2 linked regions of the Arabidopsis thaliana genome follow. The protein of the gene in region 2 interacts with the protein of the main gene of each other region in a pairwise test. Each region holds a gene or a part of one and is shown on either strand. Other genes may lie near its edges. The genes, in order: IAA18 and ARF9.

The links.
Region 1: the proteins of ARF9 (region 2) and IAA18 interact in a two-hybrid assay, tested with the Arabidopsis thaliana proteins (one study listed by BioGRID).

Annotation. Positions count from the first base shown.
Region 1 is NC_003070.9:19,303,355-19,308,297, forward strand, and holds IAA18 (indole-3-acetic acid inducible 18), read left to right. Parts: upstream 1-1,726; 5' UTR 1,727-2,315; coding exon 2,316-2,587; intron 2,588-2,863; coding exon 2,864-3,159; intron 3,160-3,242; coding exon 3,243-3,375; intron 3,376-3,578; coding exon 3,579-3,646; intron 3,647-3,741; coding exon 3,742-3,776; 3' UTR 3,777-4,164; downstream 4,165-4,943. UniProt on the Arabidopsis thaliana protein: Aux/IAA proteins are short-lived transcriptional factors that function as repressors of early auxin response genes at low auxin concentrations.
Region 2 is NC_003075.7:12,449,134-12,456,117, reverse strand, and holds ARF9 (auxin response factor 9), read right to left. Parts: upstream 4,976-6,984; 5' UTR 4,527-4,975; coding exon 4,511-4,526; intron 4,420-4,510; coding exon 4,313-4,419; intron 4,233-4,312; coding exon 4,134-4,232; intron 3,958-4,133; coding exon 3,901-3,957; intron 3,811-3,900; coding exon 3,655-3,810; intron 3,572-3,654; coding exon 3,487-3,571; intron 3,402-3,486; coding exon 3,311-3,401; intron 3,222-3,310; coding exon 3,057-3,221; intron 2,975-3,056; coding exon 2,861-2,974; intron 2,782-2,860; coding exon 2,709-2,781; intron 2,626-2,708; coding exon 2,478-2,625; intron 2,399-2,477; coding exon 1,929-2,398; intron 1,798-1,928; coding exon 1,610-1,797; intron 1,529-1,609; coding exon 1,381-1,528; 3' UTR 749-1,380; downstream 1-748.

The sequences.
Region 1 (4,943 bases), on a different chromosome or scaffold from region 2:
CGGTCTCACACGTGGAAGAACCATGTCCGATGGTTCATTATTTTCAAAAGCTTACTCTTTTTTTTTTGGTGTGGCAAAAGCTTACTCTTTTAAATAAGATTGAGTTTTTTTTTTTGGTAACATACGCTTCTTGTGATTAAGTTCATTTAAAGCAACACAATAATTCTTGTGTTTTTTATTTGCATGTAAAGGTAGACACAAAACTCGAATCTAAAATCAATAATTTTATTTGTTTAGTGACTGATTTGAAAAAAACGCAGAATAAACTAACCTGATTAAAAAAAAAGAGAGTTTATATTGGAGCTTACTGAATTCTATCGATCTAAAGTATAAGATGACAAAAAATTCCTCGTATCATTTGGGTTTAAATATATGATGGGATGGTAAATGGTAATTAAAGCCAATAGTAATAATTTATAAAATAATAACGACAAAACGAAATAAAGGAAGAAAATTTGCAAGAATAACTAACAAAAACTTATAAATTAAGAAAGTAACACAAAACAAAAAAACAGATATACTCTCTATATTATATATAATAATGGTATATTTACCCATTTTTCTCCACCTCATTCTAAGTCCCTCCTTCTCTCTTCACCTCTCATCTCTTTTTCTTTCTTCTCTCAATCTTTTTTTTTTTTCTTTTTTTGTATCACATAACAAACAAACGAGAAGGACAAAATAGATTTTTCAGATACCACTTATGTTATCTGGTTGCTTGAGTTGCCAAGGTTGTATCTTAGGGTATAGTTTTTCTATACATCCAAAATAGTATAGTACAACATTTTATTTCTATCCAAAATAGTACATGTTTTTACTTACAAACACTATTTACTATTTTATAAATTCAAATCCGATTTTAAAAATTCAAACTATTTTGTATGTAGAAAAAATATAGGTTTTTTCTAATAAATTTTATAATTGGAATTTATTTTTTGGAAAAGATATATAACAAAAAAAAAACAAATAGGTGAAAAACTAAACTAAATGTTACTAAATCATTTTACCTCCAATTCAACACTAAAATTGTCTTTTCCTTATCCTTACATGCTATTTTCTTAATTTTTATATATATGGTACTATATTTTTAATTTGTTTGTCAAATATGGTTATTCAGCTAAATCACCCAATAGAGACTCAATAGAGACTGAGAGAGAGAAAAAGAAGGGTTTCTCGTAAAATCTCCAAATTCATTTGAACTTTCCCAAACATTGGAATATGTGTAAGTCCCATAGGAGTAGGACAGAGTCGATAGGGGTGTGATCCTAACATACCAGAGAAAGATCGTCGAATCCTCCATTTCTTTTTATGGCAACCATATTTTAATTATATACTACTATTTATTAATTTAATTGGGTGTGATTTTTACTTCGCGTAATATAAATATGCTTTTTCTACATTTTCCCAATAATTTTGTAAAAGTGTAAAGTCTCTACAAAAACATTGTTTAGTCCTCCTTTTTTGGTCTAAATATTTGTTTAGTCCTATATCCATATTTTGTGACACTACTAGTATTATAAAAACATAACAAATTCTCAAGTTACACTTCTCGTTTTGTTTGGGTCAACCACACAACACCACAAGTTTTACTTGTACAAAGTAATTGTTTGTTTATGTTTTTCTGTTGTATGTATTTTTTTTAATTGGTCAAAAGAAAATATGTTTTAAATAAAAAGGTGAAAAAAGGCCTATGGGATTGGAATAATAAGATAGAAAACAAAATAGCATGCTTTGCTTCCTCCACTAAACTTCCTTTAAGGGCAGAGAGAGAGATAAAAAGATTGATTGCGTGTGTTTCACACCAATAAATCCCTTTATTTTTATTTTTTGGTCTCCAAATTTACTAACTTCTAATAATTTCCAATTTTACCCCTTATTTTTCTTCCTTTGGTTTTAACCTATTCACTGCATTTCCTTGGTATAAAATCCAACTTCTTCTCCTTCAAGAATCTAGAGATAGAGAGAGAGAGAGAACACAAAGTGGGAAAAAAGATAAGAACCCACCATAAAGTTTTAACATTTTTCCCTTCAAAAGGCGAAAGCTTTTGATTTGTATAAAAGTCCCACTTAATCACCTCTCTAGCTTCTCATTCCATTTCCATCTCCTCTCTTTTGTTTTCTAAGTTGCTTCAAGAGTTTTGGATAGTGTAGCAGAGAGATTTTAACTAATGGGTTTATAAAATTTTGTTCTTTTGCGTGAACAAGTTGTCAACTTCTAGACAGATTTTCTTTTTGAAGTGTTTTCTTGTCGAAATTCTTCTTCTTTTGGTCAAAGAACGCAAGATTCTTCTGTAGTTCCTCTAAAAAAAATCCTAATGGAGGGTTATTCAAGAAACGGTGAAATCTCTCCGAAGCTGCTTGACTTGATGATTCCACAAGAGAGAAGAAATTGGTTTCACGATGAGAAAAACTCTGTTTTCAAAACAGAGGAGAAGAAGCTTGAGCTAAAGCTTGGACCACCTGGTGAAGAAGATGATGATGAATCGATGATAAGACACATGAAGAAAGAACCAAAAGACAAATCTATCCTCTCTCTCGCTGGCAAATACTTCTCTCCTTCTTCCACCAAAACCACATCCCATAAAAGGTTTTAAACTTCTCATCTCTTACTTTTTGTTTTTCTCTGTTTTGTATCCTTCTCACATGATGATATTCACTTGTTATTAGCCAATAAGGTCCCATCTATCTGCATAAACTTTGTTCTTGTCTGCTTAAGATTGGATCTCAAAACTTTTCATCTTTTTACCCTTTTCCCATCTGAAAGTTTCAGTCTTTTTACTGCCCTAGTTTTCCTCTGTTTTTAACCTTGAGATTGTTCTTGTCTTACTAACAAGTTTTGTTTTGATGCCTTTGTGTTTTAAAGAACTGCTCCTGGTCCAGTGGTGGGATGGCCTCCGGTTCGATCCTTCAGGAAGAATTTAGCTAGTGGAAGTTCTTCAAAGCTTGGAAATGACTCAACCACCTCCAATGGTGTTACCCTCAAGAACCAAAAGTGTGATGCTGCTGCTAAGACAACAGAACCAAAGAGACAAGGAGGCATGTTTGTGAAGATCAACATGTATGGTGTTCCCATTGGTCGTAAAGTTGATCTCAGTGCTCATAATAGCTATGAGCAGTTATCTTTCACAGTTGACAAGCTCTTCAGAGGTCTTCTTGCAGGTAAATTTGAAACCTTTGTCTCTCTATTGATTATGGTTAAAAAAGGGTTGAATTTTGAACTCTAATTGTTCTTATTTTATCAGCTCAAAGAGACTTTCCATCATCCATAGAAGATGAAAAACCAATCACTGGATTATTAGATGGGAATGGAGAATATACTCTTACATATGAAGACAATGAAGGAGACAAGATGCTTGTAGGAGATGTTCCATGGCAGTAAGAATCTTTTCTTTTCTTTTTCGTTTTTTTCTGAATCTGAGTCAGCTTTTTGTTCTATCTAAAGGAGAAGTATTAGATTCCTAGTCACATATTTATTATATCTTAATCACAGTTTGATTAATAACAAACTTAGTTTGGTTAAGCTATTAAAGATTGTGGACTTTTTGATCACTAAAATTGATTATTTCTTAAATTGTCAGAATGTTTGTGTCTTCGGTGAAGAGGCTGCGTGTGATTAAAACTTCTGAGATTTCTTCAGCATTAACATGTAAGTGTAGGATTTTAATAACATTTTTTAGTTGTTTTGGTGACTCTTTTAAGTGAAGTTCTTAGAATGTTTTTTTGTTGTTTTGAAATTTGCAGATGGAAATGGTAAGCAAGAGAAAATGAGAAGATGAAGAAAAAGATCTTTTACAGCTTTTAAAGAAGTAGAGAGATGTTATTAATTGCATTTTGCCTTTAAACTTTGATGAGTTTTTGGTCTTGGAAAAGTTTCTGATATAAGTCTGATGTACATTCTGGTTTGTTACATCTTCTTTTGGCTTTTGAGATATCATAGAGTTTTGTTGGAACTCAAAGACCAAACAGTGCAATGATGATTTTGGGGTCTTGAGTAAATTTACAAACCCTTTTAGGCATATTATAATAGTCTTCTGTTTTTAAGTTTTGGTAATGATTATTCACACTTGATCAACACTTTTAAGTAATGTAACTCTCCCTATGTCAGCAAAGCATCCTTTTCGAAAAACGGAGAAAAGAAACAATCTTTTTCTCTGCCAAAAAGCTCTTTAGCTTTTATTAAATCTATACTTAGGGTATCCGCTATTGTAATGAACTATGAGAGTGAAAGGTTTTAAAACATTGAACAACTTTTCTTTAAATGAGCTGTTAGGACAGATATTCAAACCATTGTCTAACCACATCTTTCATCTTTGTCTGGACTCTTGGGCAACAAAATTACAGACATCATTAGATTATCATCTTCTGATTATTGATCTACATATTTGATAATACTTGATATGATATAGTTTCTATGTATAATCATCTCTAAATTTATGTTTCTAGTTTAGCTTTTGTGTTTCGTAGAATAGATATATAAAATAAAGGGTTGTTCATAAGCATATGTATTCATACGATCAAATCGTTTAAAAGGAAAAAAGGAAGAAAAAATTGGTGGGTATGGAATATTGATAAAGAGAGTACAAAATAGAAAAATTGAAGAGAAGTCTTTTTCGTTGAGAGTCTTGCCTAACTATTCGAAGCAGCAATATGAGACCTTATAGTTACTTTTTTCCTTTTGCCTTCGAAAATGTTCATTCTATATTCTTTTGAAGTCTACAGTGATATTGATGGCCAATTGTGTTGTCCTCTCAACATTTTAGGACCACTCTATCTAGTCCAAAAAATTAATATTCTGGTTTTAAGTTCAAGTAATAAGCGACGTTTACTCTTGTACTGTAGTAACTTGTTTGGATCAAATAAATTTATCATTGAGTTAACGATAGAATAAAACCGAATTCTAAAGAAAATAAACTTGTATTTGCTAGCGGAAATTTCTAAATTTA
Region 2 (6,984 bases):
TACAATTAAATTTAAACTTCTCTATATATGGAAAGAAAAAAAGAAAAAAAAGAAGAGGAAAAGATAGGGATTGTGAGATCCACTGCCTTCACAAATCTCGGCAATAAATAACCTACATCATCACTTCATTATCTCGGCAGTAAATAACGTCATTAACTATGAACGGTATCGACGTATTAGTAAAGAGATTCGTATAGGTGTATTTATGTGGTACGTATATAAATATTGGACCGTCAGAAAATATAGATATTTGGACCAAGCAACCAGATATGCACGATTTTTTTTCCCCAAATGATACACTAATTAAAATTAGATTGAACTTATATGTTGGATAATCATTATCTAATCTTTCGTATGTGGGATTTAGAATAATATCCTAACATTTTCTACACACTTGTCATAATCAAAGAAATACTATATGTACATATTATAAAGACAAACTTCACAATTTATAATCTCACCAGATCAGCATGTGTTATACTATGTTGACATATTGTAGTTGTTTTGCAGCGAGAATGGTTGTACACGACATATTGGACTAATCCAAGTAATATGCATAACCCAAATGATATCTAAAGAGAAAAATAACTCTTTTTTCCTTTGCAGCATTCGATATTTTAATGCATGTGAGTGAATAGTGATATAAGGGAATGATACACTTTACAAACATAAGGGGATCCAGAAGTAGTAGCGAAAAGGTGGTCCATACTTCATACAATTACGTTTGTGAATATGGTGGCAAGAGCGGCCACATACATGTCCTCACAGACAAAACATCAATAATCTTGAATCATTGTTAAGGTTAGTGGGAAAACCTGAAATAGTTTTAGGTCTAGAGTTTTGTTTATTTAACATTTTAAATATTGATAATATATGTACCTTTGGGGATTTGACAAATACAAGAAAGCCATGTTTGAAATTTTATATATACATTAAAACTTAGATGAAAAACAAAATCAAAGAAAACACAACTACGAAAAAGAATCAGAAAACACGAGAGCCATGAGGTATAATCCCTCTTTAATCTCTTATAATCCCAGAGTCCCAAAAGTCCTTCATCAAGTTATTCACAAATCTCATTCTCTTTTTTTTTTTTTTTTTTTTTTTTTCTTTCTGTTCGTTACATATTTGTTTCTCTTACACACAAGTTCCTAGAAGAAAAAGAAACTTCCAAAAGCCTATTTTAAAAGTAGAAAACCCTCTCCCCATAAACCCCCTTTCTCCATAAGAGGCTCCAAAAAAACGAGCCATTTTTTTTGCCTCAGGGGATGTAGTTTCTTGTTTAAGCCATGCGCAACAAAACACAGACACAAACAAGATAATTCCGAAAGACAAAGCAAATAAGAAGGAGACGAAGACTGATAGAGAATAGAATAAAAATTAGTTGGAATGATTATCTGTTTTGGAAGTTGTTGTTAGTGTTGTTTCAACTTCCCTTAACAGCATCCGGAGTTGGTTCCCAGGCGTCATTTTCTTCACTTCCTCTTTCGACCATATGAATATTCTCTTCACCATGTTGCAGAACTCACTGCACCACCAAATTAAGTCAACAGATATGAGTTTTGTGTAGTGATTCTATTGACTAAGAGATAAAGAGTAAGTTACTTACGGCCATGGGTCATCACCGACAAGCATCATATCTCCCTCATCGTCTGTGAACACTATTTCCCATTGATTGCGACTCCGCAGTTCCCCTTTTATGTCAAACAGCTTCTCAATGTCATCTATGAGCTCGTTGTACCCCTTTAGCGCATTTAAATCCACAGCCCTGCCCACAGGTACGCCTTGCATCTGCACCTGTTCAGCGATAAAGAATTCAGGATCCTGTTCAGTCCCGCAAACATTATACATAATGTGTATCTGTTTTGCAACTCACAGATTACACAATGTATATACACTTCACGGTAGCCATGTAGGCATATATATACCTTGGTACGGCTTCTTGTAGAACTGCTTTGCTTGCTTTGGACCTCTTTTGGTGATCCCTCCGCAGGTTCCTGCTTTTTCTCTTCTGATACTTTTGAAATCTCTGATTTTGGGTCTGAGTGGCTGTCCATAGTCGGTTTGGATATGTTGATTGGTCGCATGGGTGCAGTTTTCTCCTCAGGAACCGCTAGGGAGGAACTCATCAGATCAATTCCAAATAATCTATAATTAGCGGTTGTCTCAGGCTTCTTCTGCTCGACTGGGGAAACCATTTGGTCGTTCAGTGTTGAGTCTTTTGCTACATTTGACACAGAGTAAGAGTTATTTAGCCAGTCAGATTTCTTAGCATCCTCATTTGCATCACGATGACATTGCTGAGGAGAACTCCACTGTGAGGTGATGCACGATTGTGCAAACTCATGGGGTTGCGTCAAAACAGAGCTCCAAAGGTTTGAAGCTGTTATGCCTACATCTAAACACAGCATGTGAGATTTAGCAAGGAAACTTAAGCTATGTACTAGCAAATCAGTGGCGGTTAGATTGTGCCTCACCAAGTGCAGATACTTCACTAACTTGACGGGGCCTTTTGTTCTTCAGCATAACTGATTTGGGAACGTTTTCTGAATTTACAAACGGTTCAATTTCCCATGGTGAAACCTTATTGGGTCTTGAAATCGATGCAGGCTCATCCCAATGAACCTACACAAACATGTAGCAAACTGATTGAGTTTTCACACTTAATAAACACTTTAAAAAACATGTAAAAGTGGAAGGAATTTTACTTCTAAGCATCGCCATTTTGAGTCTTTCCAGTGAGGGGAGCAGTCTTTCACACCAATAACCGTGCCAGAATATCTTTGTAAAGAAATAGATGTGTGAGAATAGCTTTGGGGACAAAGTGCAGGATACATAACAAAGAAAAAATTCAGACTACCTTCTTTCAGGGGAATCCTCTCCCTCAAAACGCATCTTAAATCTCATCCCTACAGAGAACTTATTGCTCATGGCTTCTAGATATTTGTTCAAGCTAATGATGAATTGGCTTGTCCTGCTCAAACCGAGAGTAATTCGATAAGCAGAATGTCGAAAAAACTCACCTCAGATATTCCCATAGAGTAATAACTGTCTACCTTGGTTTATAGTATACAATGAACATAGTTTTCGTTTGAGTAGCATGGCGTGCAGTAGCAAGCACTCCCAGATGCATACTATGACTTGATATAACGGATGAAGGCATACTGCTCTGTTGAAGATTAGCACGTCTGACTCCAACTCGCAACTCTCCGTTCTCCCCTCTGGAAAATATAATATAGCTTGGAAGTTCAAAATCTACCAATGGACCATCAAAAGAAACAAAACAAGGTAGCAGCGTGAAGTATAATACCTCAGGAATACAAAGGTGTCCCCAGCAACCAATCTCTTTGATGTAACAAAGGTGCTCCACCCTGTCGTCAATAGATGCCTCCGTGGTTGGCCTGTTTAATGAATTATCATTCATTTTATACAATTATCATGGATACATAAAGTTTGATCTGAGTTAACAAGAAATGGATTCACCACCTCTAAAAATATGCTTGAATTTCCACTGATAACCGTGCACATCTTCGGCTACTAACTCCTGGGTCGGGGTTTGCTGAGTCATATCCTAAAGGATAAGAACATAAGAAATTCATATCAAAGGCCATTTTGGTGGGAAACAAAGCACAAATAGTAAGCGTGTCCTAATACCAGCGGAGGAAGACATTCCGTGGCATGTTTCCTTAGAACAGAAAAGCCACCATGGGTGCTTGTATCAGACGCTGTCAAAACCTTGCTGAAAGAGTGAACTTTCGGCCTTTGCAACTCAGGAGGAGAGGGATCAGGACTCATAGGTTCATCAACTTCCTACAGTTTACATTTAGAGATCCACTAAACATTGAATTTAAGGAAGTTGCAACAACAAAAACAATCAAGTGATCTAATTGTGTCACTCACAGTTCCAACAGGGATCAAAGTAATCTGAGCATAGACCTCATCCGTATCTTTCTCCGCCTGACAAGAACAGAAATGAAGAAATCAAACAAGATCCAGAACTTCCACTCATATTTAGTCTAATCATTTCCAGCTTCTTCATAGATTTTCTACAATATCCATCTATATATATTGCTTTAACTAATGGACGACACATCATCAGATAAATTCGGTTTTGCTAAATGTGGAAAGTATACCTGAAGACTAACGTTCATAACATTGCAGAGAATCTTAGGAGGAAGAACAAAAAGAGGCTTCATCGTATTTAAGTCGACTTGTTGCGTTGACGCTTCGAGCTGAACCACCAAAAATAGAAATGTTTCATTAAAAAAAATCTTTCTCAAAATTTCACCGATCTAAAAGAGAAGCTGCTTACTTGTTCCATGTGACCTTGAGGAAAATAATAAACTCTTTCTTGAGCTTGAGGAACATCAACAAGAGGTCCCGCGCATAATTTCCATAACTCATCGTACAGATATTCACCTGTTTCACCACACAATGTACACCGGTTAATTTCGCCGGTAATGTCGCCGGAAAATTGAAGAAAAAAACAAAACTCCGGTCAATTTCTCACCTCCGCGATTTGCCATCAGCTGATTAAATCTTCTATCAGTCACACCAAAACACACAGTCTCTCTATCTCTCTCCGATGAAGAACCGGAAGCTGAAACAGTCGAAAATAAAAGAAGGGTGCGTAATAAAGTGAGGAATTAAATTGAAGAAGAAGGTCCCTTGGATTCCGTCTCCACGTTTTCTTGTTCTCTAATGCATGTAAGTAACGATCGAGAGAGATCTGAATCGTAACGCAACGCAATCCTTCCTGCTCTGTAACTGTAACCTCTCTAATTTCTCTCCCGTAAAACCAGCTTCTATCGTCTTCGTCTCCCAAACAAAGAAGACTAAACTCTTTTTTTTTGTCTCTCTTCGTCACTATAATCGTCAAACAACGCCGTTACAAGAAAGAATCTCTCACTCGCTTCTCTCCCGTCTTTAAGTTAACACCTCCGTTTGCTTTTATCTCCGTTTCACTCTCTCTTTTTTCAATACTTTTATTTTTAATAAATTGATTTTATATGTATGTCTAAAATTGGACACCTTTTCGTATATAATAATACGCTATACATTAATTGTATAACCAATTGTAAATTCCTTACTATACTTTCTAAGACATGTTGTTATCCAGACAGTACCAAATTTCTAGGAAATAGCTTGATTTGAAGAAAGTAGAAAGTTATTTTGAAATTAAATGTATTGTTTATAAAAAAATATATGATAGAAATGCTTAGCACAACAATAATTGTTTTCCTCAATTTTTGTTTGATTAAATAAAAAAAGAGCTAGCAAAAAAAAAAGCGTAGCTTTGCTTCTCTATTTAAACCAAAAATCAGTTTTAATTTTACAAAAAAAAAAAAAACTTTAATTTCAAATTTATTTGGTTTATGTTTTAATACACTTTGATATTTTAGTCAAAAACAAATAAATAATGGGTCTATGATAAACACCTTTATACTGTATAATATAGAAAATAATTGGTTGTTTTACACTGTACTAATTGAAAGAGACTTTGTAAGTTATAATTATAAATAGCTTTTTACTTTTTTTCTATACGTACTAAACAATTAAATGCAATTGCGTTAGTGGATGAAGGAATTAGTATTAGTTACTGGATAAATCATAAATGTGTTGGCTTTTAAGGCTGGTACGGAGCGTGAGGGCGCGTGCCGTTGTCGTTACGGTAACAAAAGTCGATCAAGAGACATTAAACAGTAACACCCGTCATCGTTAAGAGTCCGTCACTTTTACCGTTTGCTCTTATGCAGGCAACAATACTGGCTAGACTTGGATTAGAGACGAAGCAGCTTTGACCTCCTTCTTTGGATAAATTACATTTCTACCACTAAATGGTGGGACTAACATAAGCATGTGGGAAGTGTTTCCATCTCTGATTTTTGTTCTTTTCACCTTTTGCAAGAACTTTTTTCCAACTCCACATTTTACTAATTAGAAACATCAAAATTTATTTGAGTCATGATATATGTTGATCGTTGCCAAACAAATATTATCCGGAAAAATTACTTAAATACTTAGAAAAAAATGTTTTGATTAAATGTTTTTTTTTTAGAATTTTGAACATTAATATACGTGAAATCTTTTGAACCGTTAAAAAATGATCGATGATGGATAAATAAGTAGATGTTATAAATAAGCGATTAATATCACTTATAACATCAAGATTAAGTTTCCTAAAAATCTTATGATACTCAAATTGAAGGAACTCAAAAAGTATGACAAGCGACAAACGAAAAACACTAAATAAATCTATTTTACTAATTTAACCAAGATATGTAATATAATAATTTTTGTTAGTATAGTTATGTTTACCATATAAATTCAAATCCTTATAATGTAGATATACATATATGTTGGGTTAGTTATTTATTTTAGTTTTTTTATATGATAAGATTATAACTCCCAAATATTTATTTCAATACAAAATTTAACATAATAATTTTATTTCCTAAACATTTGTACCATCACTAGTAGTGTAGTGCATGGATTTTCGTATAGTAAACTAAGTGCGATCTTTAGATGATCAATAAATTTAAATTTCTGCATCAAAATCGTATATTTGCTGTAGTCATTTGGCAATGAATAATGCCAAACTTTTTAATAAATAATAAGCAAAATATAAAGATGAAAAAGCCTATACTCCATAGTCCATATATTTATATACCAATTAACTAATTACTTTATCGTTTAGTTCTAATTAATTATGTTTAGTATATTACTAATTATGACAGAAAACGTCACGTATGACGTATTTTTGACAATTTCTGTTCCCTTTAAGGATATAAATAAGCAAGATGCCTTAAAACCCACCACCACCATCTCCGGATCTTCTCTTTCTCAATTTAGACTATTTTAATCGTATTTATTTTAGTAATAAATTGGTATCTTGTCCCCCGTATATTCCCCAGAGCTTGTTCAAACGAATCTCAACTGTAATATAGAATTTTCGTGTCCACTTAGAAAGCATTCATTCCCATA